Rhinolophus ferrumequinum: one gene and its partners. The protein of the gene in region 3 interacts with the protein of the main gene of each other region in a pairwise test. Links are inferred from orthologs where the notes say so. Each region holds a gene or a part of one and is shown on either strand. Other genes may lie near its edges.

Evidence for each region. The genes of interacting proteins can lie anywhere in the genome.
Region 1: the proteins of GABARAPL1 (region 3) and RETREG3 interact in binary tests that used the Homo sapiens proteins (3 or more experiments, as listed by UniProt). The link is inferred for Rhinolophus ferrumequinum from reciprocal best matches to the Homo sapiens genes GABARAPL1 and RETREG3.
Region 2: the proteins of GABARAPL1 (region 3) and ATG4A interact in binary tests that used the Homo sapiens proteins (3 or more experiments, as listed by UniProt). The two-hybrid records come from large-scale screens. The link is inferred for Rhinolophus ferrumequinum from reciprocal best matches to the Homo sapiens genes GABARAPL1 and ATG4A.

What each region holds. Positions count from the first base shown.
Region 1 is NC_046304.1:38,319,491-38,327,612, reverse strand, and holds the start of RETREG3 (reticulophagy regulator 3), read left to right. Parts: upstream 1-4,977; 5' UTR 4,978-5,034; coding exon 5,035-5,273; intron 5,274-8,122. Other genes in the region: TUBG1 (tubulin gamma-1 chain), read right to left, coding at 225-422, 608-769, 853-1,005, 1,448-1,597, 1,695-1,781, 2,016-2,142, 2,538-2,617, 2,886-2,954 and 3 more. UniProt on the Homo sapiens protein: Endoplasmic reticulum (ER)-anchored autophagy regulator which exists in an inactive state under basal conditions but is activated following cellular stress.
Region 2 is NC_046284.1:46,492,621-46,500,261, reverse strand, and holds the start of ATG4A (cysteine protease ATG4A), read left to right. Parts: upstream 1-4,496; 5' UTR 4,497-4,612; coding exon 4,613-4,634; intron 4,635-6,500; exon of another isoform or gene 6,501-6,599; coding exon of another isoform or gene 6,600-6,713; exon of another isoform or gene 6,714-6,770; intron 6,771-6,835; coding exon 6,836-7,009; intron 7,010-7,641. Other genes in the region: PSMD10 (26S proteasome non-ATPase regulatory subunit 10), read right to left, coding at 737-890, 3,111-3,277, 3,372-3,518, 4,398-4,496, 6,600-6,713. UniProt on the Homo sapiens protein: Cysteine protease that plays a key role in autophagy by mediating both proteolytic activation and delipidation of ATG8 family proteins.
Region 3 is NC_046293.1:25,901,432-25,909,687, forward strand, and holds the start of GABARAPL1 (gamma-aminobutyric acid receptor-associated protein-like 1), read left to right. Parts: upstream 1-4,919; 5' UTR 4,920-5,191; coding exon 5,192-5,281; intron 5,282-8,256. UniProt on the Homo sapiens protein: Ubiquitin-like modifier that increases cell-surface expression of kappa-type opioid receptor through facilitating anterograde intracellular trafficking of the receptor. Involved in formation of autophagosomal vacuoles.

The DNA of each region.
Region 1 (8,122 bases), on a different chromosome or scaffold from region 3:
ACCTTCAAAGAGACCCGTGACTTGACTTATATCCAGTGCTTTATTGAACATAAATAGTCTCATAAGAGGAGAAATAAACGTGTCCCCAGGCCAACAGAGAGTACCTGTATGTGTTTATGAGAAAGTGATGCGCGAGGTCCCTGATCTGTACTCTGAGGGGGTGGTCAGTCAGGCGGGGCCTGGGCCAACCAGTAAGGCAGATGAGGGTCCGTGTCTTGGGGGACTCACTGCTCCTGCGTGCCCCAGGAGATGTAGTCTGGCCGCGTGGCTGCATGGTACTCATCAATGAGCTGCTGCACAATCTCCCTGGACGTGTCCAGCTCGTCAAAGTTCTCCTTAAAGATGTCCTCCTTGCGGAACTGCTCCAGGAAGGCCTCCCGCTTCCGCAACTTGTCGTACTGGCGACAGGTCCGCTCAAAGAGCTTGGGGTGTGCAGAAAGCAGGGGTCACAAACAACCGAGGAACAACATGGCCCAGAGAGCCAGAGAACCATGGCTGGGCTATCTCCACAGTAAAAAAGCCAGAAGCAGAGCAGCGGGAATGCAGAGAGGTGAGGCACAACCAGGAAAATGATTATGGGAAAATAGGTGCACACCGTGAGACTCACCGAGGAGATGCTGGTGTGGTTGGCCATCATGAGCCCGCTGACCCGGTGGGCAGAGGGCAGGTAGGGAGACTTCCTTGACAGGGCCACCTGGATGCTGGCTGGGCCCCAGGGGATGAAGTTGGCCAACTTCCGTTCCCGGATCCTCTGCAGGCTCTTGTGGACCTGGGGTGGGCAGAGGAGTGGTGGTGGTCGCCTCTCCTCTACCCCTGCAGGTTCCAGGGGTGGAATGAAGGGGCCTCACCTACCTGAGTGGGGTCCACCTCCCCCTGGATAATGTTGAGGATGGCAATGTAGCAGTGGTTGGTCTGGCGATCCCGGCCGGTGGACACCATCACATTCTTGGGCTGCAGCAGCCGCCTCATGACATCCAGGACCGTGGTCTTCCTCACGCTGGCCACCTGAGGCGAGAGTGGGCCACAGGGAGCAGGCTAGCACTGAGGGCACAGTGCAGGGACGCACGGACAGACGAGTAGGCGGCACGTGCCCCCACCAGACTTGGGGCAGTATGGTCTCTTTGGGGAGTGTCTTTGGATTCAGTTCTATACCGAGCCCCTGCTGTGGGATCAGGAATCTGAGCCCTCCTCAGCTCAGCAAACTCATGCCCCTGTGCAGGAGCACACGCAGACCCTGTACAGCCCAGGCCCTGCAGGAAGCCAAAGGCAGAGGGAGAGAGGAGAGCGAGTCAGCAAGGAAGTCGTACAGTCTGTGCCAGTGCCTGAGCGCAGAGCCTCTGGGGGCTGCACAGGGCAGGTCCTGGGGCAGCAGGGAGAAGAGAAAGGCTAGCTCAGGGCCTGCGGGCCCAGGGCCAGCCTGGCCTGGGACACTGAGGGCCCTTCTTACCGACTGGTCCGTGGTGAGGGGGGTGTAACCAGTCATGAGGAAGTGGAGCCGCGGTGTGGGAATGAGGGAGGCGATGAGGCCGATGAGGTCATTGTTCATGTAGCCCGGGTAGCGCAGGGTGGTGGTGCTGGCCGACATGATGGTAGACACCTGGGGACCGAGGTGCCATGTCATGCGTCTTGCCTGGGGTGGCCTCCCTTCCCCAGATGGCACTCTGAGCCAAAGGAGTCCAGGAGTGGGGCCTCACCAGCTGATTGATCTGGGAGAAGGATGGGTTCTGGATGTGCAGGCGATCTGTGGCGATCCGGTTCAGGGCTGTGTTGTCCAGCACCACCTGGGGGGACAGGAAGAGGTGGCAGATTTTTGGGAACATAAAGAACATGAGCTCTGCCTGAGCCAGGGCTCTGAAGCTCAATTTCCTCTGAGCCTCATAGCCAGAAAGACCGATCCAAAAGGGATTTGAATAGCACTGGGGCCTAGAAGATCTCAAAATGAAAGTTTTAAGTGTATGAAAATGGTGAAACAGACAAGGGTATGGTAGTAGGAAAAGGTAGAATCTAGGACTCACCACACAGTCTGCGTTCTGGGTCAGCCTTTTGAGTGTGAGCAACGAGTTGTAGGGCTGGACCACCACGTCGCTCATCTCGTCCTGGTTGGGAAACACTGAGTATGTCTGCACCAGCTTCTTAGGGTACCTGGTGGGGATTGGGAGAAGAGAGTCAGGGTGACAGACTGGATGCTTGATACACATAGGGCTTCCAATAACTGCCTGGAAGCAGCTGAATCTGGACGGGGAAATTGGTGCTGGGCCATGGGATCAGTAGAAAAGGGAGAGGTGACTTTTGGAAGTCTGTAAGTTTCCCAAAGGGCAGAGAGACATCTTAGGATCTAGGGTTCTAAATCCAAACTGTCCATCCTCGCTGACCCTTCATCTCTCCACCTAGGACCCAGATTGTAAGGTCTGGGTTCAAGCCGCGGGGGTGGCTAGGAAGGCCCTTTCCTGCTCCAGTGAATAACAAGGTATATCTGAAGGGACTCTCAGTTACTTGGGAAACCAAGTCCTCCCAGGCCCGTCAAAACTCAGACGTACCTGTCGTTCAGCCGTTCTAAGAGGTAGGAGCCCAGGCCAGAACCTGTTCCCCCAGCAATAGAGTGACACAGCACGAAGCCCTACATGGGAAAGGGGCAATCAGTGTCTAGGTTAATCTAGTGAAAGGATTTCAAACTGGACCCATCCCACAATTTCTCAGACCCCTATCTTCCACTTTCCTGCCCCCACACATAGAGCTTAGGAGCCTGCCTTATTTCCAGCAAGGTCCGGTGGCTTCTGTCCAGTGCAAAGGGTACATGGGTGGTCTTATACCTAACAGATGGCTTCTAAAGGGTAATGCTGAGCCTTCCCTATGTCGGTTCCCACAAGTAGTGCTGAGACACTCACCTCTAGACTGTCACTGCCATCTGCCTCCCGGTCTATGATGTCAAAAATGTCCTCATGGATCTTCTCTCCCTGTACAGATATGGGGAGGGTCAGAGTGGGACAGGACCATGGGACAAGGACTCTGAGCTCACAATAGCGACCCTCGATTCTCCTTATAGCAGCGAAAAGGGTTTTTTGGAGCACAGGGGCCCTGCTTTTTATTCTCATTGAGAGACAGTATGGTACAGTGGTTAGGAGCAGGCACTCTACATCCAGACCGCCTAGGTTCATACATCAGCTCTAGTTCTATTTAGCCGAGTGACTCTGGGCAGGTTACCTATTCTCTCTATACTTCAGTTTCCTCATCTCTATAATGAAGGTATTAATACAGGTCCGTATACCCTTATCCAAAATCCTTGGGGCTTATGGTTTGGAATTCAAATATTTCATATTCTAGAAAGGTAATATGATACATATAATGTATTTTAAGCAAAATGCCAGCAGGGTCTGAGGTGCCCTAACCGAATACATCAATATTTCTGCAAAGAAAGGTATGAGTAATGACAATAAATTGGATAGAAATTATAAAATAGCCTGTCTCAATAGATTTGGTTTTGCTGTTAAATCGTCTTTTGCTTTCAGTTTTTTGGATTTTGGAAAGGTAGATAAAAGTCTGTGAACCTGTAGTACTTCTAGGGTTGTTGGGAGGTTTAAGTAAGTTAATACATATTAAGTACTTAGTATGGCCTGTCACACAGCACTAGCTAGTGTAATGTCTTAAGAATATTACATAGTTGACTTAGAGAAAAGCACTTCCCTCAGTCATGTCTCTCTCCCTCTCCCACTCATACATCCTCTATCTAATTTCATCTCTCTCTAGGAAGTCACTGGGCCTGTTCCCACACAGGAAGGGCATTGCGGGTCTTGCCAGGGAATAGCAAACGACCTGGGAGAATCCGCTGGCCCAGTTGTTGCCAGCTCCTCCTCCATGCTCCGACAGGTAGATGTTCTCTGGGTTGTAGAGCTTGGCATAGGGAGAGTTGAGGATGGAGTGGATCACCCGGGGCTCCAGGTCCAGCAACACAGCCCTGGGGATGTAGTGCTCATCGTCCGCCTGTCAACGGGAGTCCAGGAGGGGGCCCACTCAGCTGAGGCCTGCCCAGTCCTCGGTCCTCCCCACTCTGGCTCCTGCCTGCCCTCCCGCCTCAAGCCAGCAGCCCTGGCTCCTTTGCCCAGCGGGGTTTCCCAAGGCCACTGCCCATCCTTTCAGGCCCCCTGGCCAAGTCGCTGGGAGCACCTGGTAGAAAAAGACGTCCTTGCGGTCAGTGCCCTCGGTGGCGAATTCCTCCACGATGCCCTCGGGGCTGATACCATGCTCAGCGCACAGTTGTTTCCAGAACTCGAACCCAACTGGAGGGGGGAGGCGGGCGGAGGAGAAAGAGGATATCTAGGTCTGGGCAGGTTCCAACTAGGAGCTGGGGGACTGAGCGCCCGGGTCCAGGGATAGGAAGTCAAGGCTCAGCAGACTCCCATGACAGAGGAAATAGCTGTATGCCAGCGATTGGGCAGGGAAGGGCTTTCGGGGTTGGACAACTGAACACTGGGTCAGGCATGTCCCGCGTTTTGGAGAACTACGATTCTGGAAAGGGCAAATGGGAGTCCAGTATCCCACAGCAAGACCCCATTGAATCTAAGGAACCTGACTAGCGGAGGGGCCGGAGGTTCGCTCACTCTGATTGCCGCACTGGCCCAACTGTAGGGTGATGATTTCCCTCGGCATCGCTCTTCAGGCACCGGCGTTGCAGTCACTCCTGCTAGCAAAGCCTCCGTGCGCCAGCCCGCCTGCCGCACGACGCAGGCGCCAAACAACCCGCTCCGCCCACGAACTTTCTCCGCTCCAATGAGAAGTGAGTTCTGGCGATGGCACTTTCTTATTCATTTGGCTTCACTAGTACCGACTGCGCGTGCGCGGCACCGGATCGGGCTCGGAGCTGGTGAGAGGGGAGCATGGTTTGACGTAGCGTTCTGTCTGGGTGGAAGCCAACTAGAACCCAAGCGCAGGCGCAGTGTGGAGGGAAGCGGCCTTCCCCGGCCAAATCGCGCATCTGCGCAGTCGGTGTTATTGTGACTGTCGGGCCGCGGCCCCGGATGTGGTGGCTGAAGGTGGGAGATGGCGGAGGCAGAGGGGGTGGCTGGAGCGCCAGGCCCAGTTTCGGGGCCGACTTTCAGGGGCCGCGGCGCTATGTCGGGCTCCTTGGAGCGGGACCAGCAGGTTGAGGCGGCGCAGCGGGCCCTGGTGGAGGTGCTGGGGCCTTACGAGCCTCTGTTGAGCCGGGTGCAGGCAGCCCTGGTGTGGGAGCGGCCAGCCAGGAGCGCCCTGTGGTGCCTGGGGCTGAACGCGGCTTTCTGGTGAGAAACTGGACCCTCAGAACCCCTCCGCGGAGCGAATTCGTCAGGTTTCTTTAGGGCACTACCTCTCGCCTCACCTGTTTTCTTCGCTGCACTGGCTCCTTCCTATCTAATTTTGCCTCACTTCCACTTCATCCCGCCTGCAGGCTTTGGCATCGCAGTTCTCCGTAGGGCCTTCCAATTGTCTTCCCTCCTTTACCTGCTCCCGCACCCTCGCCCCGCACATCTGGATCTGGCAGGAGCATCTAGTAACGCCTTGAGCCGTCCGCGGTGAACGAGGGCGCCTCATTTTATCCAGGGAAAGCTGGGTCCCTTTAGGGCCATCACCTCCCTTCTCTTGTCTGCTCAAATGTGGTTTGAAGACTGTCTCTAGAGAGTTTAGTAGTTGTTACTGGGGTAGATGCGTGAGGCGTGAGGTCTTGGAATGGTATCCATGGGTGTGATAAGAAAACAAGGTCGATTGGTCTGAATTAGAATTAGCCCATTCACGGAAGTTTGTGAAGTCTGAACGTCAATGAGAGGCTCCAAAACTGCAACTTGAAAGTGGTAAGCTTTTAAAGAACAGTTGTGAAATAGTGATTGTGAGATTTCACCCGGTTGAAAACCCCTTAGAATTGCAACTCTCCTTGTTCCAAGGAATTGGTGAGAGGAGGCATCCTTAGCCGTGGCAGTTGAGGATGTCTCACAGTGCGTGTGAGTTTTCCTGAGCTGGGAGTGGGACTGTAAATATATTTTGAGACTCTGTATGTTTCATGCTCTGTGAAATGGAACTGTGGCTTCTCTCAGTTGTCATTACCTAAAGTGGACTTCGGTCTTCACAGGATCTGCCAAGCAGATCGAGGGAAAGATTATTGATCAAATTCCCAGGGAACTGACGTGTAGGGGTGGGGGTGCCTCTCCAGCTGAATGAAATAAGACTATTCTGGATAAAGCTGAAACAGAACAGTGTGTATCCAGCAATTTTTGGTTCTGCTAAAAATACTTTCCTCTTAAAATTCTTGGTTTTAAAATCAAAACGTAAACAAACAAACAAACAAACAAACAAACAAACAAAAAAACGTTTAGTATCCTTTCTCTGAAAGAAGGTTTGTCAGTCAGCTGGAGCAAAACAAATAATTCCACGTTCGTGATCAGACAGTGTTCAGCTATTAGGTTAATCCTCTCACAGTTTGAAGGAGACTCAAGTTAAAGTTGTCACAGTAGCCTCTGCCATTTGTTGCTTCCAGAGTCTTTAGCAAGCTTGATAATAAACTTTTTTTTTTTTTAACAGCATTCTTCTTCTTCTTTTGTTTTTTGTTGGTAGTGCTTCCTTGATCCCCAGTTCCTTAACTTCTCTCCTGTTGCTCCCTGTCAGGAACTCTGAAGTGTAGCACCTCATCCAGGAATGTTGACCAGAATGACCTTTTCTTCTCCTACCGCCTCCCCATCCTAACCCCTAACCCCAGACCATCCTGTCAAAACTTCATTCCCTACATTGGGATTGTACTCCGAGGAAAAAAAATTGGTCCTCAATAAACCAGTTTGTATCAAAGTGTGACTGGCTGATACATGAAAACTTTATCCGGATTGAAATAAACACCAAGGGTTTATTAATGCCGATGGATCAGTTGCATGTATGTTGTTATTTCTGGGACGGGGACTTTGCACATATCCCTTGCCTGAGAGAGATGTTTGAAGTGGAATGCAGGTGAAGGTCTACACGTAAGGAGCTGTTGTTCTGACGGAGCTACACCTTTCAGTGTTACAGTGTTAGCTTTAATGTTCAGGCCCGCAACAGTGTTTACGTAAGTTTATTAATAGGCCGTATTTGGAAGCTCCCTCAGATCCCCTTTTCCTACTCCTGGTCTCTTATTAAAGCATTGTGATGGGTCTTTATCTCTGGCGTTTCCTGGTAGCTTGCCTGCTGTGTCTCCAGAACAGTGCCTCTCGTGATTCCCATCATACGCTAAGTAGGTGGGGGAGAGAGAGAGCGAAATGAGGGTGTGACTCCTGAGATTGAAAGGGCAAAGGAGTGTGCCATTTATGGAGAAGACTCATACCTGTGAAGGGTACAGAATGACTGACAGTCCGGAGGCTGAGGGAGTTTGGCGCTGGAGTTCACAGGATTGTTTGTTTTCGGGAATGTGCTTTCTGGGAAGGTAGTTTGAGGCGCAGAATGAAAGACTTCACATTGCAGTAGCGTTATATTGAAGATGGGTGTCTGTTTACGTTTCAATTCGGAATGTCAAAGAGTGACAGTTTAATTCTTGGACATTTGAAGTGTTTAGGAAATGAAAGAGAAGAATTGGCTCAGGTCAGAGGAATCAATTCTGAAATATTTTTCTTTTATTATTGTTTTGAATAATAATATATCACTAACTGAGGTGTTTTATTCATTTTGAGGTATTATAAGATTGGGTAGGAGTAGAGAAAATCAGAATTCAGGTAGTCACTTTCACTGTTCTGTATTATCAGTGAAGGTTTTTCTGTACCTGTGAATGTGCCCTCTTAATAGAAACAACAACATCATAAAGGTAGAGATAGATGTAGATACCTCGCTACTATAGTATTTCAAGGCCTTCACTCTTGTTTTTTTTTTTCCCCCAAGTTCCAGAGAAATGGTGATCATATCAGAGATCTGCCAGCTTATATTGCTCCTGGTCACTGATATGTTATTATCTCTAGCATAATAACAGACATGTCAGGCCCCCCTCTCCAATTGCTTGTTTTTTCATTAACCTCAACACCCCCTATAAATGAGTGATTTGGGGGAAGAATATCTGAGTCAGCAAGCGTGTATCGTGACAGGGTCAGAAAAGAAGAACATGTTCGAGTAACATTTTAGTTTAACTCAGACCTTGGAGATAAGG
Region 2 (7,641 bases), on a different chromosome or scaffold from region 3:
AAAGCATGTTAACAAGCTTGACATTCTTTTCAATACAGGATGACTTCATATAGGTACTTAAAAACTTCATTTTTAAAAACAGCACATTTTATGGAGGGAAATATTAATAGCTCATTAATAAGACACATGGGTACATGGGCTATCATTTTTTATTATTTTAGTGTTTATGAATGACAAACTTGGATAGCAGGCCTTCCGACTGAAAATTTGGTCCTCTAAAATATACAAGTATTCCTCCTGTAACAAAAAATAAATTAAATGTACTATTGAAAAATCAGAAATGTATTTGGTATAGGCCTCTGAGTGAGCTTGAAAAACAAGTTATGATGTGTTTCAACTGTACAGAAGGAACATTCTGGAATCTACCTAAAAACATTTGGCAGAACAACTGGCCTGATGCTACTGGAGTTATTCTGCCTCAGAGTGGACTGACAGAGGGTGCGTGAGAGGGTACTGCAGACTCACAATGGCCACAGAAACACTCAAAACTAACCAAAATTCAATAGAGAACAATATACAATAATAGAACAATCTCAACAGTTATTCAGTGTCTGGAAAGCAGATTGTAAGCTTAGAACAAATACCTCAGCAGGAACAATATTCAAAACATGTCTAAGACTTTGAAGGTGAAAAAAACGTCATTATTCATAGATGATGTCTTGTGCTTAAGTACATTAGTTTCCAGGACACTGGGGACAGCCACAAAACATACAAAGTAAGAATAATGCCAAGCTTCTTAACCTTCCACCATTTTCTTGAGTGCTAAACCCAGACCCCCTCTGGCTACTTGCAGGGGTGTCTTTTCTTCTTTATTCTCAATGTAAATACTTGCTCCATGAGACACCAGCAGTTTTGCTTCTTCCACTCTCTCCTCGTCACAGGCTAAGTGTCTGCAATTGAGGACCACAAAGACCCATAAATCACTAATTCTCTGTAATGGCTAGGATTTCCTGATAGGTACTCTAAAGTGCATATTATCAGGTAGTGTAATATTGGGAAGTTATTTAATTAGGAAAGGAAAATCAATTTTCATGGGGAAGAGTGTTTATAAGTTAAAATTCAGTGAAATAGCCTTATAATATCAGATCATAAATCGTAATTCTGGCCCTACTGCAATAGGAGGGATCTAAATGCCAGCCTAAGAAACAAATCCTTTACTTTGTTGAGATTAGAAGTAATTTGCACCAAACACATGGAATCATTCAGGGTTAGAATTCAGAAAACAACAATAAAAACAAAACAACAACAAAAAAACACAACCAGTTCATAATCTGCTAATAGGAATTTTTATGACTTATATTTTGGAAAAGCAGTTTAAAGGAGTTTAACTCATCTGATCCCTATATCCACCTTAAAAGTTAGCAAGGTATTATTATCATCATTTTACAGTTGATCTTGTGACAGAGGTGCCTATGACGACATGGCTGAGCAATAACTGAGGGAGGGAACCTTGTTAGGCACTTACAGTTTGTCAGCCAGGCTATTAGACACTTTACATGTTATTTTATTTCAACCTCCCAACAATCTACCGAGGAAGGAATTATTATCCTTATATTACAGATGAGGAAATTAACTCAGGAAGGTTAAGTAATTTTTCCAAGTTACTTAATGTAAGTATTTAATCTAGGTGGTAAGTGGCTGAGTTTGTAAATCCTAGGCTCTTCCCAGAGCCCTATACTGCCTGACTTCTACATCTCGCCAGGCCATCCCGAGTTTCTGGCTATGGAGTAGCGGGCAATATGTAAGTCTTTCGAATCGGAGTCACTCACACTACAGAAAAGATTTTTAAAACTAAGTGTTAAGAAAACAATGTTTTCAAAAAGTCAGTTTAAAGTCAAATTAGAAAAGGTTGGATCTCACTTTGGACTACAAAGAAGACTCACAGAATTTCTGGTTCAAAAAAGCCACCATTCAATAAGGAAGAAAAATGGCCAAGTACTGTAGAAAAAAATATCAAGGTAGAGGATGGCTTCAGGCCATACACGTAAAAGAATTCTGAATGAATTTGAGTTAAATGAAAAACAGTAACAATAATTCTCAACTAAAACCCATGGTGCAATAAAATACAGGTGAATATTTAACTAATTTCAGGGTGAGGAAAGACTTTCTAGTCATGAGGGAAGATTCATAGGTTTGACTATGCAGAAGTTGAAAACTTGCTATTTAAAAAAATCATGAACAACACGAAAAGAGAAACGGGGGAAATATTTTCAACTAACATGGCAGAAGGTTAATATTTTTACTATGTCAGGTCAAGGGTACTTAAAAAAAAAATCAGTGAAAATAAATTAACTCCCCAAAAGGAAATAGAAAGGGACACAAAAAGCTACAATTTAGAAAAGAAATGTAATTAGTCGTAGGCATTAAAAGATGTTTAACTTCCCTGATAATAAAAAATGTAAATTAAAACTATAAAATATCATTTTTCATACAACAAAAGGATATTTTCAGTGTTGGTGAGAGGGTAACAGGCATTCTCAAATTGCTGTTGGGAGGGTACAATGATATAACTCCTCTGGAAGCAATCTGGCAATATATGGCAATAGTCGTAAAATGTGTGTATTTGTTGACTCAGCAATTCTACTTCTAGAAGTATAAACTAAGGTAATAATCAGCAATATGGCCAAAAATTTTTGTACAAAGCTGGTCAGTGTAGCATTATTTACAGTAGTGTTTTAAAAATATAGTTATACAGAAATGATTGAATTATGGAACATCTATAAAATGGAATTGTACATAGCCATTCAAAAATGTTTTAAAAATATTTAATAATATTGGAAAATGCTCACGATACGCTATGAAGTGAAAAGAACAGGATGTAAAACTATATGCACAGTATGATCCAATTTTTACCAAAAAAAATGTAAAATACGCATAGTTGCATACAAAAGACTGGGAGGAAATACCTAAAAATGTTGTCAGTGGTTATTTCTGGGTGGCAAGATAGGCATTTTTAATTTTTATCTTGATACTTTTGTGTACTTTCAAATGTGTGTGCCACAAACATGTATTACATTTATAAACAGAATAATAAAAGAAATGATGTGTAACAATAAGTGCAAGAGGGCTAATGCCAGGTAGAATACAAATGACTACTACTTGTCACTTACAGAGGAGTGTTACCCTCACTGTCTTGGATGTTTGTGGATGCTTTGTAGTACAGAAGGATATGAATCATCTTCAAGTTACCCTTGGCTGCCGCCCGGTGCAATGCTGTAGCTTCATAATGGTCCTTAGCGTCTGGATTAGCCCCGCCTTCCAGTAACATGACAGTGATCTGGAAAGTCAGAGAAGAAAACAATGCAGAGCTCTATTTGTGTTTGTGTCCAGGTTTAGAACTCAAAAGAAGTCTCCTAGGAATAAAACCCTACCTCATGCCTGTTTTTGGAAGCTGCATAATGTAGGGGAGTACAGCCATTTTGATTGACAGCATTCACTTGAGCACCTCTTCCCAGAAGGGCTTTTACAATCTCATCCCGGCCAGCAGAAGCAGCGATATGAAGAGGAGACCAACCTGCCTGTAAAAGAGGTGCGCAGTACAAAAACCAGGGGGAAAAGGCACAGGGATTAATGCTAACATTTAGGTAGGGTTTACAAAGAACAGTGTGTGAATGATTTAAAAAAAAAAATAACATCCTTTTTTTCCCCCTCATTAAGCACTGCAGAAAATTTGGAAAGCAGATGTATACAAAAGAAAAGAAAAACCACTCATAATCCTATACCACAGAGATGATGATACATAAGTCTAATTCTAATGAGTTTTCAAACTAGGATCAGAGGATATAAAGCTCTGTGAGTTGCATTTTCTACAACTTCCACTTATCATTTTGTTGTCAATTTTTCTGTCATTCTTTGGAATCATGACTTTATTGGTTGCATAATATCTTATCATATGGATATACCTACTATGTCCAACTGTTCCTACATTAAATCGTGTTTATTTCTTTGCTATTATAAATATTACTTCAGTGAGCATCCTTGAAAAGGAATCTTTGCCTACCAAAAATTTTTCATCCTTATTCTTCACAAGTCTTATCCTAATAAAACCAATACTATTACAATAAATTTCTATATAACAAAAAAGATATGTAGGCCTTCATTACTCAGGCAATATTCACCAAAAAATTTCCAACATAATAAAAAGGGTCTGTAGTCTCTTAGAGGTCATTGTAATAAGCTTTGATCTGCATGTTTACCTTAAATTACAGGGTATGAGTGGCAAAACTAGTATTTTAAAATAATGAAACCACTAGTCCTATGCTTGGTCACCAGGGCCATACTGTAACTTCCTAGACATAAAGGTTACAATTCTGTTGAGCTTAATACTCAGGTTTCAGTAAACACCAGTCTGGAGTCTAAAGATAACTGGAAATTTATTAACTCTGCCTAGTACTCACATCATCTTTATCATTCACTGGCACTCCAAGTTGCAGCAAGAATTCAACAATTTCTGTATGTCCGGCTGAGCACGCCCAATGCAATGCAGTCCTGCTGTCCTACACGGGAGAGTGGCAATAAGATCAACATTTTTGAAGAGAAATAGAAGAACTAAGGCAAGAAAGCGGAACAAAATAATATTAGGGCCAGCAAACCTGTAGTTTGGAAACAAGAAATGGAAAGCACTGGATCCTCAGGTAGGTAACCTTAAACCATATTATTACTAACACAAGAGAGACCAAGGTTTTAGTAACATGGGGAAAATACATGGACGAATGTGACAATTCTGGGCAGAATACAGCCATGAAAGCAGCAGAGTAAGAAACTTGATTTCAGTGCTTTGGCAGAAATAGAGCTTTGGCTGCTTACCACTGCATTAATACATGCTTTTATGTCAGGCACTGTGCTTGGAGTTTTACATGCATCTCACTTAATCCCCACAATCCTGTACAGTGGAGATTATCCTCATTTTACAGAGGAGGAAACTAAGACTCCTCAGGGTAAGCAATTTGTCCAAGGTCACACAGCTAGTAAATGGTGGAGCTGGGACACAAACCCATCTGTCTGACTCTAAAATTTCTAGATGCTCTGGGAAGAACACATACATCTCATGAGGAAGAAATGTTAATAAAACTAGTTGACATCATCTATATATACCTTTAAAAGAAAATTATTTTAAATTGTATTACAAAACATTTCAAACACATAAAAGTAGAGGGACCATTATTGCAACTATTAAAATTAACACTAACTCTAAAAAAAAAATACTAAATAATACCGTGTTTTCCCGAAAAGAAGACCTAACTGAAAAATAAACCCTAGGAGGATTTTTCAGGAAGACATCCCCTGAACATAAGCCCTTATGCGTCTTTTGGAGCAAACATTAATATAAGACCTGGTCTTATTTTTGGGGAAACACAGTAAATAAACACTAACTCCTTCCTAACATCTAATTCCCAGTCTATATTCAGATTTTGCCAAGTGTCCCCCAAATGTCTTTTGGCAGTTGGCTTATTTCAGTTAGGATCTATACAAGGTCCGTAAGTTGCATTTGGTTATGTTTTTTAAGTCTTTTGAACTTGAATAGCTTCCCCCTTTTTTATGCCATTGACTTAATGAAGAATGGTTAGATTACTTAATTTTACTTTAACATTATTAAATTAAGTTAAAGTACTAAATATTGCCCGACCATAATGAAGAAAAACTTGGCAAAGATAACGCCATTTTCAGGTTGAGCAATAAAGGAAAGTTCCAGAAAAAAGTCTCCTGACTTCCAATTCTCTTCCCAAAGACACAAAACGGAGATTTCTAAGTATGTGACAATGTCTCACCAGCGCTTAGCACGTGGTGCCTGTCAAACAGGAGGCAATCTATAAATATTTGTTGGCTTAGTAAGGGCACCGGGAATCTTTCTAGAAACTCGGGATGAAAGCCATGAGGGTACTTTGAGCCGGGCGACAGAAAGAAACACTTCCCAAAGTCCATTCACTTTTGTTCCGCCTCTGCCTATAATGCCCATTCATCCTCCAAGGAAGTCCCGCTCATCCCGCAAGGTCTAAGCTCCTCCGCAAACCCTTTTCAATTGCCACATCTGGCTTTTCTAAGGGAGATTAAAGCAGGTCCTCGTTCTAAAAGCACCATTTAAACTTCTCTCCCGAGTTTTTGTTAACCGCAATTTGTAATCGGACATGATTTGGCGTTACTTTATTAATGTCTGCTTCTTCCACTCGGCTGTCTCCCCAACTCCTAGCAAACTGCCTGGCACAGGAGGGGCGTTCTTACACGTGTTTCACTGAATAAAATCACTTGTAAAAGTAAAGACACCCATTAAAACAAACAAAAATACAAACAAAAATACTCTCCTCTTCAGGGTATCTCAAAGATTGGACATTTGTGAAAAACGCAGGGCACATTCTACACATAGCCAAAATTCAGTGAGCTAAGTAGTGGGCCAAAACCATTTTTTTTTTTTTTTGAGGTTTGCGGGGTAGCTCCTGCCGTCCATTTCCGAGTCCTGACGCGATCCCGGGTGCGGATGAGGCGGCGGGGGCGGGAATCTGGCCTCTGGGAAACGGTCTCTTCTTGGGCCGCGCCAGGCAGCCACGTTGGGCTACGTAGCCGCCGCCGCCGCCGCCTGCGGAGAGGCTTCAGCGCTGCTTTACCTGGTCAGTTCTAGTAGCCAGGGATTTATCCGCCAGGATCCTTTCCTTCAACTCCTCCAGCTTCCCGCTGTAGGCCAGATTGCAGACCATTAGGTTAGACACAGAACCCTCCATTTCGCTTTCCCAGGATCTTGGGGCAGCGAGACCGCGGACCGCCTCACGTCGCCGGCTCCAACTGCCAATCAAAAATGCCGACAGAGCTGCACCAATCACCAACTTTCCTCATTCCTTTGCAGGGCGCCTCTGGGAGTTGCAGTTTGAGCTCAGTTCCGTGCCGGGAGGTGCCTTTGCCTCTCTCACCGACTCTGCCCCTAGCAGCGCGGAACTACAAGTTCCAGGGTCCCTCGCGGCCACCGTAGTCAAGTGGCCGGTGGAATTGGCCCAGGATGACAGCTGGAGAATGGAGTCAGGTACTGGGAGCGGCTTCGTGTGGAACCGGGGAGGGTGGTCATTGTGGGGCATTGAGTCGGCCACGCGAAATGGGTGCGGAGTCATGGCGAGAGAGTTATGAGAACCTAAAGGTCCTGTCGCACAGGGGCCCTGACCTGCAGTGGGAGGCGGAAGGGACAACAGTAGGAGCTGAGTATTACCTCCCGAGTTCGTACTGGTGGCTGTGGCTACCCTCCCCCTCCCTGCCGCCGCCACAGGAGTGGAAAGAAGTAGGGGTTAATTATTCTGACATCTCGGCGGAGAGGCATCCGGGCAGAATTCTGTCATGGCAGTGATAGCATATGACACCATAGTAAGGTGATGTGCCAGGGTGATGCCAAAGGCAGGGTGTGATGCCATAGGAGCCACTTGATATCTAAGAGACTTAGGTGAGGCCATGGCCTGGTGGCATCACAACTTGATGAGGGTAATCTTGATACTGTGGTATGCTGTTGGCCCTTTAATATCGCGGTAATAACGATGACATCGAAGCTTTGCTAGAACTATTAAGCTAATAGTGTATTTATTTATGGAAATCCCAAATAGTGCTGTAGCAGAAGAGATGCGAGGCTTCCTTATTTTTTATAGGGCATATCCATAAGCACAGTATGCC
Region 3 (8,256 bases):
GTGTTTGAATTGAAACCTGATTTATGATAGACTTTTAAACCTCAAATACACAGTATAAGAGCATTTTCTGTCTATGTGCAAGGATAGAAATAATGAGAATGTGAGTCATGGAGAATGTTAAAAAATTTCAAGAGTGATATAAAAAGAATGAATCTGGAAAGATAGGTTGGCATCTTTTTATGGAAGGTATTACATGGGAGCTTAAGCAGTTTGATCTTTAATCCTACATTCTATGAAAGCCATCATAAGTTTTTGAAGAGGGAAAGAGATCATGTAACTTATATGATGCTTTGGCTATCTCTAGAGGATGAATACGAGAAGTGAAATGTAGAAGAGAGTTGAGACCATTATGGCTACTGAACTATTCCACAGAGAACACAAGTACTTTTTCAATTTCTTTCATAAATGCTTAGTTATAGGCAAAGCTAGAAATAAGGCAGGCTCAATTTACACCTCTTTATTTCAGCTTCATGATAGTCATTCTTTAACTGTTTAAATTGCCCTTTGGCTATTACTATCCTTGTTTGACAAATGATATCAATGTTCCAAGTCTCTAGATGTTTCTTGAGTACCAGTTTGTATATCAAACTTGCCTACGCCGGCTCTCTCTTATACTCCCCTCTTGCACTACATAGAACCTGCTCTCCCATATGATGTTAATACTAATTACTATAGGTGGGAAAGTTGAGTACTACTCGCTCCCTTTCTCAAAAAAGTTGTAAATCCACACTCAGTAAATACCAAAGTGGATGAATACACAGTCAATTCAAAGGGGACAAAAGTTCATCAAAAGCCAAGTAAATAGTAAGTAAACATAGCCATTTGAATGCCTGCAGAGCACCATTTACTTCTCCAAACTGTGTGTTCCCTTTTGTCAGCTTTGGAGGCTGAATTGCAGGAAGTGATGTAACTTGCAGGGATCTGAATGTCTGAGTTGGTTTTATACTCAACTTCCTCAGGCTTGAAATACCAAATGGAAAAAACTTTTGCTCTTATTTTTAAATTTAATTTTATTATTTGAATTAAATGTATGCATTTATGAAGATTAAAAAGTCAAAGAGCTCTATAAGGATTGTGAAGAAAAATAGCACCTTCCCACTACCCCCGTACATGTACGCATACGCCCTACTTTTTCAGCTGACTTTGTAAAATCTACATTTCAACAAATACTATGCATATATTGCTATTCTTGATTTTTATGTTCAGTTTGGTGCATCATCTATCAACTTGCCGTTATAGAAGAAATAAAATTTACCCCTTTTCGTTACCATGATCCCTACCTTTGCTACCATGACACATCTGAACATTTCTTGTGCCTCCTATCTTCTAAGCATAGTTATATCGTAATTTTAATTAGATGAGTATAATGGGTCGTGGCAAAAAGACTATTATTGAATAAGAGGCTAAAACCAGGCTTTTGGGCTTTTTCCTTACTCCTTGTCCAATCATGGTGTAGTCACTTAATCATTCTATGCTTCAAATTCTTAAGTTGTAAAATGATAAAATGAGTACATATACATTATATTATTATGTGTGGATTACAGGGGTTAATGCATATACACATACTATACATAAAGCATGTATATTAAATCCTCTTTCCTTTTTGCATGTCTTTCTCTTTGTCGAAATGCTCTCCTTTTTAGAAGGCCACCAATTATACTGGATTAAGGCCTACCCTAATGACCTCATCTTTTGATTATCTGCAAAGACCCTATTTGTAAAGTCACATTTATAGATACTGGGTGTTGAGACTTCAACATTTCTTCAGGGGACATAATTGAACCTATGACACAGTTGATTTAGTGGATTTTCAGGAGACAACAAAGAAAACTATATCTTTTTCAATCCACCATCTTAAATCAGTAGTCTACCCTTTGCTTTCTTGACTATGACATTGTCATGCACGGTGTCATGCAGGGTCTCAGCTCCCGCTCCCCACATAAGAATGCAGGATATGGTGAGGCCAAAAAGGAACACCCACGGAGCCATAGATAGGAGAGTCATACCGCTATAGTCTCACTGGCGCCTGGGTTGGAGACACAGGAAGCAGGAGCCACACGATCTGCAACCCGCCGTCCACTTGTTTCTGCCAACCAACCTCACTTGCTAACTGCAATCCGCCTCTCTGCAATCCGCAATCCACACTCTGCTGTGCTAACTGCAATCTGCTCTTGCTAGCTTAGCCACCACCTTCTTGCCAGCCCCCATTTTCTGTTAGCGTAGCCACAGCAGTTATATTAGTGGCCAATGGCTCACTGGTTACAGCTGACGGCCAACTAGCCACAGCTGATGGCCATCCCATCACAGTTGATGGCCATTTACTACCCCAGTGAGCACCTTTCCACGTGAGGGTGAGAGCCTGGAAACTGCGCTCCTGGCTCTGTCCCCATAGACATACTATGCACTTTTTGAGTCTTCATTTTGTATCCAAAGCATTGAGGATATAAATACAAGTAACATGTTACCAAATAGCACAGAGACTACCTGAAACTAGGGACTTAAATGCCATTAGTTCTCCCTCCAACTCTATCTTTACATTTATCTCTATCCCTATCTATACATCATGAGTCTCTGACTGACATCTTCTTTATCTTTCTTATGTTGGACTGGTGCATTTAGACTGCAAATTTAGATTTTATGAAATGAATACAGTGGCTACTGTAAGCCTCTGATCGTACATCATCAAAACGCCATAATTAAAAAAGGGACTTATTTCTCTAGCCTCATATATAGCCATTTCGTATTTTGTAGTCTATGTTCCAGGCATACTAAATTATTTAAATTACTTCTTTCCCTATATTGCCCTTATTTATGGTCATTGGATATCGTCAAATGATCTTCCTGTAAAAACATTTTCTCCTATTTTTTTTTCTTTTTTTTGGCCTAATTCCTGTAAATCATTTGGAGCTTAGTTCAGGCATCGCCTTCTTCAGGAAGCCTTTCTTTTAACCCCCATTTGCCTGGGTCCCTCTGTGTCTTTACAATGTGCTCTGAAAGCATTGTGTGCTTATTTTTGTCACAGGACACATAAATGATGTATTGTTCATTAGATAATACCATGTCCATTCCTTCTCTCTTTTTTTTTTTTTTGGCGGCGGAGGTATACATTGCTTTGTAGGAAGCTACTCCTCCCACACTAACCACTGCGTAGTTCTAGTGGGACCCACAAATCATAGATTCTCACTGCCTTGACCATTAAGAAGGCCAGGTGACTTATAAAAGACTAATCAGAATCTTTCCTTAAAATTTCTCACATATGAACTAAGAGAATATTACATTTTGTGTAATATATTAAATGTTATGCTGAGAATACAGGCAGAGAGCAAACTTTGGAAGTTCACAGATTGTGTATTCTACAATAAAGCATTAGCATTTAGAAAAGCCTTGAGGCAGAAAGATTAATCGAAATTCCATCTCCAAATTATTTTTCATATATAAATTGCCACTGTGCTTAGGTATTTTTAAAAGTTAAAATCAGTATTTTTAACTAGCTACGATTGTTTCCAGTAGATTTGATCATAGAATAATAGTCTTAAAATATTAATCTTCATCGTAATTACTTTTCTCAACTGGTTGTAAGGTTCTCCTTTGAGACATTTAGCTCTATTTGAACCGAAGCTAAAATAAGCTGAAAATTTCAATTTGAAAATAAGGAATAAAAATTATAAAAATATAATGTGATAAAATAATTCCTGGATTTTCACACATAAAAAGGACTGAAAGATACCATGGAGAAAAAAAATTAACATCAAGAAGTAGGGCTATGTAATTCATTCTCGTTTCAATAATGAAACTCAGTTTCTTTTGTGGATTTGTTTTTTAAATCAGAGACACTGAGACCTTGACAAAAGTAGATAGGGGCTGCCATTTTCTAATATATTAATAGTTAGCAGAGCTCCCTTGTTTTGGGCAGACCAGCCTGTCCTCACCCTTATCTTTCACAATTTCCTCTGTCCCCCACCATAGGTTCCTGGAATCACTGCCAGGAACAGTGGTTGGAAAGGCCTTAGTCCTTTTGATTCTTGTTGGAGAAAGGGGAGGGCCAGAGAGAGGTGATACTGGCACCTGGCCCACCACCCAGAGTCCTCCACTCCCCCTTTTCAGGTGGCACTTTCTATTCACATTAGGGATACTTAACCAGTACTAACCTTCAGGTGAATTTTTGCATAAGAGAAAAGAATGTTTGAGAACCACTGAGTTAATCACTTAGATCACTTGATATTTTCTTTTCCATCAGATAGGCCCAACTTCTGCGTTAATAGGAGAAAATGAATCATTTCTATATTTGAAAAGGCGTGAAGCCCTTAGTAGTTAAGACTGACACCACTTCTCTGGACCTTGATTACATCTGATGTCCTTTACCTAATGTGTCTTTTCAAATTCCTGAGTCACGTTTTGTTTACGTTCCTGCTCCAGGAACAAATTGCAACTGCGGCATGGACCCAAACAAAATGACGCGAACGTGGTGAAGGAAGGGTCACGGTCAGAGGAAGCCAGCCTAGCTCCCGAGGTTCCTGGAGGTGGCAAATGAAGGAGCAAAGGGCAAAATGCAAGTGCCTGGCACGTCTGCACTGGCCAAATAAACTCCAGGACCCTGATCCCTCCTTCCCCCAGACTTCAGATCCTAACAAGCTGGAAAAAGCTGGATTTTCTTCCAGTGTGTTTGTTTTTGGATCCAACCAAGAAACAGCGAGGGAGAGGGAAAAAGACATCTTTAGAAAATGTTTTGTTTTAAAACCACCTTTAATGCCACATTATCAATAAAATAAGAAGTAAAAACTGTTCTCATTTGCATGAGAACTCTGTTCAGGTAAAGTTTCGATAGAAGAAGAATACACTGAAACCGACAGTGTCTGTCCACCCCCAACTCGCGCGGTCCAGAGCGCTGGGGGCGGGATGAAGGGCGGGGCGCCGTGACGTCACAATACCAACGCGCCGCCGTGTTGTTATTGTGTTGCCAGCTCTCGGGAAAAGCCACCGGGAATTCTTTACCTGGCCATCTCCTACTTGCAGGCTAGGGCACCCGAGATCCCTTCAGAAGCTCTACCAAGCTGCGTTGCGACAGGAGCTGCCATTTCTGAAGCGATTCCGACACATTGAAATTTGGCGGAGGGAATAAGACCCAAGAGACGCAATCATCAGCGAGGAAGGCAGGCCCCGTCCGGGGATCTTAGAAACCCTGCGGTTCATCATGAAGTTCCAGTATAAGGAGGACCATCCATTTGAGTATCGGAAAAAGGAAGGAGAAAAGATCCGGAAGAAATATCCTGATAGGGTCCCTGTGAGTGCAAGGGGAGCGGGAAGGGGGAGGAGAAGGGAATATCGGGGGGCGGGAGAGTCGTGATGGCTGCCCTAAGGCACTGAAGAACGCTGGTCCCTAAAATTACTTACCCCTGAATGGCCTTCACTGCGAGGAGAGCCAATGGAATGGACGTTCTGACTGCGGACCTTTTAAAACCTGTATCCCCGGGGCCCATACCCATCTTTAGAGCTGACCGCTTCCTTTGAGCGGAGCCTACGTTTGAGTGACTCAGCAGTATTCAGAGGCTATTTAGGTTGTGATGTGCTCAAAATGTGGCCCTTCTGTGCGAGAATGATTCGGTCAGGACCACACATTTGCTGCCTTTGAGATCGCAGGGAAGTTTTCTGGGAATAATTGATGCCGTGGGGATTGCTCCCATAGATTTCTGTTTCTCCCTTAATCAAGTTGACTTCAGTCCTCGTAGCATTGGCTTTGGGAGGGAAAGGCTGGGAAGCCAGGGAATCCTTTTATACTGTGAGGACTGGGAGTTGGGGGGCAGGGGGCTGCCACAAGACAGGACTGGCCCAGAAAACAAGGTCACGTTCTCTGCGCAACAGCCGGGTTGCCTCATCATTCTTGGCTCCGGCGACATGTACGGGGGCAGCCAGCCTTCCCCGGTACCTATCTGATTAGATTGTAGCTGGGCACAATCAAGAAGGACTAAGGCCTTTTTCTCTCCGTTTTGAACCCTGGTTTATGTAATTAAATCTCGTGTAGGCAGCGAGGAGGAACAGAGGAGAAATATTAAGGTATCTTTCTGCATCCGGGCGTTTTTCCCATCACCCCTCCCCCGCCACTTGCCTGGTTTTTCTCTCCTGTGGGCTGCGCAGCCGGATTGGAAGGCAGACGACTTAAGTGTGGTAGAGGGAACAACCGTTGAATTTTGGAAATGGAGGAGCGGAGACTTTTAAGATTGTGCTCTTTATCTTCAGACAGGGTCATTAAGATAAATGTTACAAATAATTTACAGGTGAAGGAATTGCGATGATCTGATTTGCTTTTTTGACCCGCAGGTACTCTTTGGGCCTCCTCTCCAATCCTTAATCTGTCATGGTCTCACAGCTACCAGAAGAAGCCTGGGCTTTAGGCCAGCGGTATAAACCCCTTGCCGTCCTTTTCCTATAAGGAAGAGGAGACTTGAGGGCTGGTTTCATTCATTCCCTGGGAGTTGCACACAAAAGAGATCCTTCCCTAATCCTTCCCTCCCTGGTCCCTGGACCTTGAATGACAACTATAAAATTTTCTCCCAATTCTGGTGATACTCTATTATAATAACATTTAGAAGTGACAAGTAACTTTTATTGATAGTTTACCATGTGCCTGGGCGTATTCTGAATACTGTGTCTATAGTCATTCACTTAATCCTCACACCATTATAATGCCCATCCTACAGATGAAGACTGAAGCACAGAGAAGTGATTTCCTAAAATTTTCACATGGCTCTTCTGTGGCAGACCCCAGATTGCAGCTGGTTTGCTATTTCTATTAGCATTCTAATGCAGTTCTATTAGACAGAATTAAGGGTGCACTGTGTACCTCACAGTCTTAGGTATTGGAAATAGAGAAAAGAACTCTTGTTTCCCTTAAGAGTTCACAGAGCAGTATGAGGCTCTGTTCCAGTAGCTCTGTGTAAGTTACAAACTCTGAAATGTACCAGTTCCCAAATTGAGGTGAAATTCCCATGGGTTTCCTTAAAACCAAACCCTTCCCATTTCAATCATTTACATGCTTTCACCCAGAATATTTCTGCTCATCACCCCACCCCCACTGTTGTTTTGCTGCTCATAATTTGGAGTTAAATGTTTTACAAAACTGTTTAATTTGTAAGCTATTAGGACCATCAGTCAGTTCTCCTGGTCCCTCCAGTTATCTTTTAACCAGTGATAAGCCTTCCAACTGCTCCTTAGGTACTCAGCCTATGACCTTCTTTCTAGTTGTGACGCAGGAGGAAGAGCTCTGCTGTCTTGAGTTCTGAGATTTGATTCCAGTTCCAGGCACAACCCTTAATCTTGCTGTGCTAAAGTGTCCTGTTTACAAAAAAAGAGGGTTAGAGTAAATGATTTTCAAAGCCCCTTTCAGCTGGACCATTGGTGGTACAGCAATCACATACCCTGACTGTTCACATAACTCAAGCTTAACCCCAACAATATCTCTAGAGCTGCCATACCTGACTATGTGTGCATGTGCCTTGGGAGAGGAGGGTTTCATGGGCTCTTGCAATGATCTTAATAGCTACAGTGTATTGAAAACCTGCAACATAGCAGGAAACTGTTAGGAACAGATTGTATATATATATTTTTTAATTCAGGAACAGCCCTAAGGAGTATTAGCCACATTTCATTTTGCAGAAAAACAGAGAAGCAGACAGGAAAAGCAGCTAACCCAGGGCCCACTGTGGAGTAGAGCTGGGATTCCTGAAAACCGAAATATTTTCTGGTAAACCAGGGCCTAAATGATTACTCCTCCTCTTCCTGTTCCCCTCCAAGTCCCTCCTCCCCTGCTGATATTTTCTTTGCGGTTGGCTAGCTTTATTGCCCTCTTTCTGCTAGCTTCTTGTGGTTTCCATCTCTTGATTGGAGCTGGAGCTGCCAGGTCTCAGAGCTCCTGCTAGACACAGTGCTATGTGTCCTGTTTGCCTTTGGTTTTATAACCTCCTACCTCCTGTTCATCCTCATTGTCGGGCCTTCACTCATCTCTTCCTACTTTTTCTTTTGAATTTTTGATTCCTATATCACTACTCAAGTTTTTAATTTTAAGTGTGATCACGGTTCCTCTGGTGTTCTAGAATAGGATTTTTTTCCTTCTGTAAACACAAGATAAGTTTTTCACTCCTTTAATCTGTCTCCTTACATTTAAAAGCTTCAACCCCCCCCCTTGCTCTAAACCAATCCTTATATTTAGATAGTTCTGTATAATTTACAAAGCATTTTCACATAAAATTTTATGGATTACTC